Linked DNA regions of Sus scrofa. The protein of the gene in region 1 purifies or fractionates together with the protein of each later gene. This does not show direct contact. Links are inferred from orthologs where the notes say so. Each region holds a gene or a part of one and is shown in the gene's direction. Other genes may lie near its edges.

What was found.
Region 2: the proteins of FLCN (region 1) and FNIP2 purify together in Homo sapiens (affinity purification with western blotting; 5 studies listed by BioGRID and IntAct, with this or other methods). This does not show direct contact. The link is inferred for Sus scrofa from reciprocal best matches to the Homo sapiens genes FLCN and FNIP2.

What each region holds. Positions count from the first base shown.
Region 1 is NC_010454.4:61,035,564-61,039,369, forward strand, and holds part of FLCN (folliculin), read left to right. Parts: intron 1-735; coding exon 736-957; intron 958-1,603; coding exon 1,604-1,764; intron 1,765-3,806. UniProt on the Homo sapiens protein: Multi-functional protein, involved in both the cellular response to amino acid availability and in the regulation of glycolysis.
Region 2 is NC_010450.4:47,775,838-47,779,643, forward strand, and holds part of FNIP2 (folliculin-interacting protein 2), read left to right. Parts: coding exon 1-48; intron 49-149; coding exon 150-221; intron 222-2,250; coding exon 2,251-2,351; intron 2,352-2,521; coding exon 2,522-2,611; intron 2,612-3,806.

The sequences.
Region 1 (3,806 bases):
CAGCGGAGGGCGGCTGGTGGTGCTGCCAGACAAAGCCGGCCGGGCCGAGCGGGCGCGGGCGGCCTCGGGGCTCCGCGTGCGCCCTGCCCTGGTGGAGGCTGGCCCGTGGCCAGCTTGGCGCTTGAAGCCCCCGGCCCTCAGGGAGCGGCTGTTCACGGACGCGCTGCTCACGTCCGGTGTCGCTTCCCCGCCTCGTCCCCGTCAGTCGCTGTGTGCTCTCCGAGCCGCCTGGCGCGGGTCGGGACGTCTCAGATACGCAGCTGCCGATGTCGTGTTCCCGCCTTAGCCTGTGTCCTCGTCACAGAGGATGCAGTCTGGGGGCAGCCGCTCCTTGTCGCGGGGTACCCCTGCTGAGAAACACCAGGCTCCCTCGCTGCTGGTCCTGGGCGCCGTGTGCCCGCCTTGCTGCCCCCTGTTCCCCTGCTCAGGGTGGGTGTGTGCTGGGCGGGGTGTCGGGAGCGAGGCCCACGTCTCCTCCAAGTCTTGTCACACGGTCGTCGCTGCGCGGCTGTGTAGACCTGCCAGCACTCCAGGGTGGCCCCGCGGGGCGAGGTTGCGACCTTGCGTCGTGGTTTATGGCTCGAGGTGGGGGGAGGCGGGAGCCCGCCGGCCCTCGCGGTTCTCAGGGTCGCATGTCACCTCTAGGAGGCCCCTTTCCTCTGTCCCCTCGCCCTTCCCGCTCTCCGCGGGGTTCGCCGAGGACGGCGCCCCGGAGCAGGTGTCCCCGTCCCGCAGGTCTGCCCCGGGCGCGAAGGCCCCATCTTCTTCGGGGACGAGCAGCACGGCTTCGTGTTCAGCCACACCTTCTTCATCAAGGACAGCCTGGCCCGCGGCTTCCAGCGCTGGTACAGCATCATCGCCATCATGATGGACCGCATCTACCTCATCAACTCCTGGCCCTTCCTGCTGGGCAGGGTCCGAGGGATCATCGACGAGCTGCAGGGCAAGGCCCTCAAGGTGACCGGGGCCGGGGCTCCGGCCGAGGCGCGGGGCGCCTCCTCCTCCACGGGCTCTCGAGTCTCTGGTTCTGGTCCCTGGACTCTGACTTTGCTGCAGGCGGAGCTCTGGTCTTGTCCCCGCTGGCTTTGCCGTCTCTGGCCGTGACCTTGGCGGCCTGTGTGCCCGAGGTTGCAGAGCCACGGCCAAGGTGCACCTGCGGCGGCAGGGCTGCAGCTCAGGACAGGCCGGTGGCGCTCTGATAACAAGCTCGAGTCTCATTGATGTTCTGCAGCCGTCGGCCAGGAGGGGGGCGGGGGGGGCGCGGGCAGCGGGGCAGATGGTCGATGGTCGGCTCGGCCGAAGTCCTGCTGCTTCTGCCTGCTGCCAGGCTCGGGGTGGGGTGGAGGCCTCGCGCCTCTGGCCCCTCCTTTCCCTGGGCGGTCACGTGTTCCACCTTTGCAGCTCTGAGCAGGGGGAGCCTCCCCGGCCCGTGAGGGGGGGACCCTTGCAGGGGCGGCTGCAGGAGAGCTTCCCGGCCGAGCCTCGTCTCCGGCGCCCGTGGGCAGAGCTGCTGTGCTCGCCAGGGTCTGGCAGCCGCCTCCAGGCTGGGGTGCCAGCTGCGCCCGGGCGCCCAGCCGGCTCTGACCCTCCCTGTGCGTGTCAGGTGTTCGAGGCGGAGCAGTTTGGGTGCCCCCAGCGCGCGCAGAGGATGAACACGGCCTTCACGCCGTTCCTGCACCAGAGGAACGGCAATGCCGCCCGCTCGCTGACCTCCCTGACCGACGACGACAGCCTCTGGGCCTGCCTGCACACCTCCTTCGCCTGGTAACGCGCCCCGCACAGCTGGCGGGGGGGCTGTGCTCTGGTTTGGGGGGCCGGGTCGCATTTAGGTGGGACTGGTTTCCCGATGTGTTTTGTGTTTGAGCAGCCACACCTGTGGCACTTGGCAGTTCACGGGCCAGGGACTGAACTGTAGCCTCGGCCCTGCTGAGTCCCTGCATCCGCTGCCCCAGGCCCGGGATCAGCCCCAGGCTCCACAGCATCCCCGGCCGCTGCGGCCCAGCGGGAGCTCCCTAGTGGATTTTTCAAAGTGATGTTTCTGTGCCAGGACGAGCAGTCTCCCCTTTCTCGTAAACAGCGGGGCGCGTTGGTCTTGCACAGCCTGGGGGTCTGCACTTGCCAGGAGCCCCGCCTGGTCTCAGCGGAGTTGCTTTCTCTCGAGGCTGGCGTGTCGTCGCCGGCTGTGTGGGGCAGTTGGATGGGACCTGCTTGCTCTTAGGACCGACCCCAGCAGCCCCCTGTGCTTCGTGCACGCGCTGTTTGTCACCAGTGTGCCCCTGTCGCTAGGCGCTGCCTGGCGGGAGGAGAAGGCTTGTCCCCTTCTTTTAGAGGGGGAAGCGTCGCCAGATTTGGGGGCGTGTTTGGAGACCACCCCGGTCTGTTTTCGGGCCGCAGGGGGTTTCTCCTCCTCCCGCTGCAGGCTGCGCTCCTTCCAGGGACCCCCCCACCCCCGACCTGCATCCGTGTGCAGCGTCCCCGTCAGGGCCTGGTGTGGAGGCTCCTCTCACGTAGACCCCTGAGTGCAGCTCCCGAGAACCTGCACACTAAGGCGGGAGCACCTGGCGTACAGTTCCTCCTGTCTTTCTTCCTAATAAAACGATTTTGAGAGAACAAGAAGGGGATTCCCATTGTGGCTCAGCAGAAACAAACCCAGCTAACGTCCACGAGGACGCAGGTTCAATCCCTGGCCTCACTCAGTGGCTTGAGAACCTGCTGTCGTCATCAGCTGTGGTGTAGGTCACCGCAAGGCTTGGATCTGGCGTTGCGACGGAGTGTGGTGTAGGTTGTAGACGTGGCTCAGGTCCTGCGCTGCTGTGGCCGTGGTGGAGGCCGGTGGCTGCAGCTCCGATTTCACCCCTGGCCTGGAAACTCTGTATGCCTCAGCTGCGGCCCTAAGAAGCAAAAAATAAAAATGAAAAGGCAGGAGGAGCCAGGTCAGGTGAGGCAGAAAGATTCTTTTTCTCTTCAGCTTGCAGATTCTCAGGAGCCGCACTCAAGGACTTACTTGTCAGAAGTGTCCTTTTATTTAGGGAAATTTTCACACGGACTCCACGTGTAACGAGCAGCCCAAAGAGCTGGACGCTCCCGTTGTCCAGCTTTAGCAGCTCCCTGCATCTTTACTGCCCTTTGATCTTCTTCTCGCCTTTTCTCTCAATCCTTTCTCTTTTTTTCCTCTTTATCTTCTTTTTTTTGGCTGCGCCTGCAGCGTATAAAACGTCCTGCCACAGCAGTGAATTGAGCCCCTATAATAACAGTGTCAGTTCCCTAAGCTGCTGGAACTCCCTTAGGATTTTGTGTGTGTGTGTGAGTGTTTTTGCCTTTTCTTGGGCTGTTCCCACAGCATATGGAGGATCCCAGACTAGGGGTCGAATCGGAGCTGCAGCCGCCGGCCTCCACCAGAGCCACAGCAACGCGGGATCCGAGCCGCGTCTTTGGCCTACACCACAGCTCACGGCAACGCTGGATCCTTCACCCACTGAGCAAGGCCAGGGATCGAACCCGCAACCTCATGGTCCCCAGTCGGATTCGTTAACCACTGCGCCATGACGGGAGCGCCTAAGTTTTTTTTTAAAGCGAGTCTTGGTTGTGTCGTTTCAGCCGTAGAGCCGCAGTCACATCCGTCCAGATGAGTGAAGCGGCCCGATAAGGCCACACAGCCCAGGCCGCGGTCCCTCTGCGGGCCCTGCCACTGGGCGGACTGTGTGGTGGGGTCAGCGCCCCGCACAGGCGCTGGACCGTGCGGCAGGCTTCTCCGTCTAGACCCCGCCACCCCGACTTCCTGCCTTTGGTTGGAGGCCTGGGCCACG
Region 2 (3,806 bases), on another chromosome or scaffold:
TGTCGCCATGAGCTACAAGGGCTCCACCCTGAAGATACACTATATCCGGTGAGTTGGGGCAGCTTCTGCAGCCATGCGACACAGACTGGGGTGCCCACCCTCTCATCAAACTCTTGTCTCTCCCTCTCTGCCCTTCTGTTTGTCTCCAGCTCTCCTCCACAACTGATGATTAGTAAAGTCTTCTCAGCCAGAATGGGCAGCTTCTGCGGGAGTACAAATAAGTAAGTCTGGGCTTTTGTATCTGCCCTCACCCTCCAACCCCCCTTTTCCTAAGTGGCTGTTTCTGGATGGGGTCATTATTTGGGGGCCAGGAGGTTTTTTTGAGAAGAGATGCAGAATGAGTCTACATCAACAAAAGGGTTTTCAAAGTGGCTATTGTCCCACACATAGGGAGTGTGAAAAGGCCTTGGACCTTATCAGGTAGCCCTAGAGACAAATGACTGTCTCTGCATATATTTTGGGTACGTTCACCAAGTTTTCATTCCCTAGAAAATGAAAAGGGGAAGGGAAAAAGGAGAGGCCACAGTAATGAGCTTATGTGATTATGAGCTTATGATATTATTTTACCTTAAAAAAAAAAAAAAAAAAAAACCTTAGGAGTTCCCATTGTCGTGCAGCAGAAATGAATCCAACTAGTATCCATGAGGATGCGTGTTTGATCCCTGGCCTCGCTCAGTGGGTCAGGGATCTGGTGTTGCCGTGAGCTGTGGTGTCAGTTGCAGATGTGGCTCAGATCCCACATTGCTGTGGCTATAGTGTAGACTGGCGGCTGCAGCTTCAATTTGACCCCTAGCCCGGGAATATCCATATGCCTCGGGTATGGCCCTGAGAAACAAAAACAAAAACCTCATCTGGGAGTTCCCGCTGTGGCACAGTGGTTAAGAATCTGACTGCAGCAGCTCAGGTCACTGAAGAGGTGTGGGTTCCATCCCTGGCCCAGAGCAGTAGGTTAAAGGATCTAGAGTTGCCACAGCTGTGGCTTGGATTGGCCCAGGAACAATGTGCCGAGAGTGTGGCCATTAAAAAAAAAAAAAAAAAAAAAAAAAAATTCTCATTTGTTAGTCTGTTGGTCTGTTTATTTCTGAAGGAGTGACGCACAGAGTGGGGTTCTCAGGCCAAGGGGCTCCTGAGTGGCAGGAGGGGCGTTCTGTGTTTGCCATCTCTCTACCGTCCAGTAGCCTCTGTGGCTGGTAGGGGCTAGGGCCAGGTGATATTTTGATTCTTCCTCCTGAATTTCCACCCCCCTTTGTTTTACACTTCTTTGTAATCTGAAAATACTTAAATGCCTAACTTAACTCTTATTCTAGCACATTTTTTCATATATTTTGAATTTTTCAAGCAGAAATATGTCATACATTCCTTTTTTTTTTTTTAATGAAACAGCAAAACATTTGTTATACGTAGGTAAGTTTGAAAGAAATGTTTGTTGTCAGTTAAAGGGCTATTCTTAGGGGTCACATGAAGGATGCTAATTTTACAGTCCTGGGAATTTGAAAGCATGTTTCTCTGAAGATTTGGGCACCACTGAGTAAATCTGGTGACTCTTCAATGGAATCATGAATTTACTTATTTGAACATTTAACACTGGATGGTCATGACTGACGCCAGTATAGGAATTGATGTTTATCTTTTGTGAGATATTCTTTTTCAGACCATTGATATTCCCTGAACATTTATACAACCCCCCCAATAAAATATTAAGGTCAGATATAAGTAAAAATTATGTTGGCCTCAGGATGCTATGTTATTCTCAAAATTTTTGTTTGTTAGTAAATACAATAAATTATTAAAATGTGCTTCTCTCATATGTGTATTTGTGATTGTAGTTTTTTAGAAGTTGTGAAGTCAAGCTCCTATAGGAATCATAGTTTCTGTCACATGTTCCTCTTGAAAAAAGTTTTAGATGTTAACTCAGGGTTAAACTGAATTTGACTTTGAAGGTTTATGTAAATATCCTGGGTGTCATTTTCCAAAGCAAGATGTGTAGAGTTCAGTGTTCCCCCCACCCTTACATAATATAAAATTGTTTGGAACATGTTATTTAGTTTTATAGGTTGAAGTACTCCCCAAAGCCTTACTTGTCCTTTCCTCCAGCAGATTCCCATAAAGTTTCCTTTCCTTTGGTAGATGTGAGACTTTATTTATAAAGAGAAGTCTGACCAACTGTCAGGGTGTCTGTATCCGTTAGCAAGCAACCTTCTCCGTCTCTTGATGTTTTTCTCCTCTCTCCCTTCCTCCCTCTGGATTTAGCCTGCAGGACAGCTTTGAATACATCAACCAAGATCCTAACTTGGGGAAACTGAACACAAATCACAACAACCTGGGTCCCTGTCGGACTGGAAGTAACTTAGGTAAAATCCACCGCATGGACGGCTTCCTTCTCGCCGAGCATCACTGTGGCGGGCGTGCGCTGTGCTTTACTTGAGTTGGTGGTGTCGTGTTGTTTTCGGCATTATCTTTAATCTGTGTTTATTTTTGTGTGTGTACCTTGTTTGCCCACCCGTGTGTGTCTCTGCCCCAGGTGTGCTGCAGGGATGTGGCAGCAAGCTGTCACGGGGGGCGGCCGAAGGAGGACCACTCCCGCTCAGCCGCAGTGCCTCCTTCTTCGCAGGTTTGTGGGGGACGCTGAGTGCCTGTGACCCACGCCCGCTAGTCAGTCCCAGGCAGGTTCTTAGAAGCCAGTCCTGTTTGGTGCCTCTCTAGGAATCCGAGGGGCTCTTAAGACACTAGTTTCCAATGCTGCCAAGTTCCAGGTGTTGTGGAAATTTCTCTCGCGAACCTCTGTTGTGAATGTCTCTGCTAACACCCAGGTGGAAGGTGATTTGGATCTGAAGTGAGCCCTTCGTGTTCCTAAGAGGATAATGTTTTCTGATGTTCCTCAGCCCCTCCTGCTGCTGTGAACTGTTTCCCTTTGCTGTGGCACCTTTGACCCTTTTATTCACCCGCACCCTCACCTGCAGTGTCTTCAAAAGTCACTCTAACCAGAGCATGGACGACCTCTCTTTCTCTCTCTCCTTCTCTCCCTTTCCCTAGCATTTGAGTAGTTCAGATGCACTTTCCAGCTTCTTTCCAGGTGTAATTGTCTCGGTCACTCCGGGTAGGTACATTCTGAGATTGGCCTGGCCTTGTTTGCCAAGGCTGTCGGATGTCTGCTGTGGTCCTGCATGAGCAACACGTATGGGAAGCCTCATTACTAACGTGAAAGATTGGGTTTATGGCAACCAGTGTTCTTCATTCTGTTTTCCTTCATAGCCTGAAATCCACTAGGCACCCCAGTTAACTGACCCCAGAGTGAGGATAACATGTTGATATATATGCTCCTTAAAATTGTGAAAATAAACATGCTTCGCCTAAGGGCTGGCAAGTATAATAATCAAGCAGGGCATCGGGCTCCCTGTACCCTGTAACTCACGGTAACTCACTGTGACATGTCAGCTACCATCCAGCTCAGTAAGTACGCAGTCAGACTGATCTGACATGTTCCTAGAGGTCTGTAACCCTTCAGAGGATTTTCTAAGTGGCTCTACAATAATACCATGTTTGGGTGTATATGGGGAAGAGGTGGAGGAAGAAATATTTGAAAATGAATATTGGTGTTTTCTATCTACCAAGAGAAGGGATTATAAACAGAGAGGCATTTTTTAAATGTATGAAATGGTTTTCGAGTCTTTCTCTTCTCTGGGATGCCTAGAGTTACTATCAGAACTGATTATAAAGCATTTTGGCAGTGCTCAATATTTGAAGTATTTCCGTATATCGAAAATACTTGCTAATACTTTTAAATGCTATTTAAATACTAATGATGA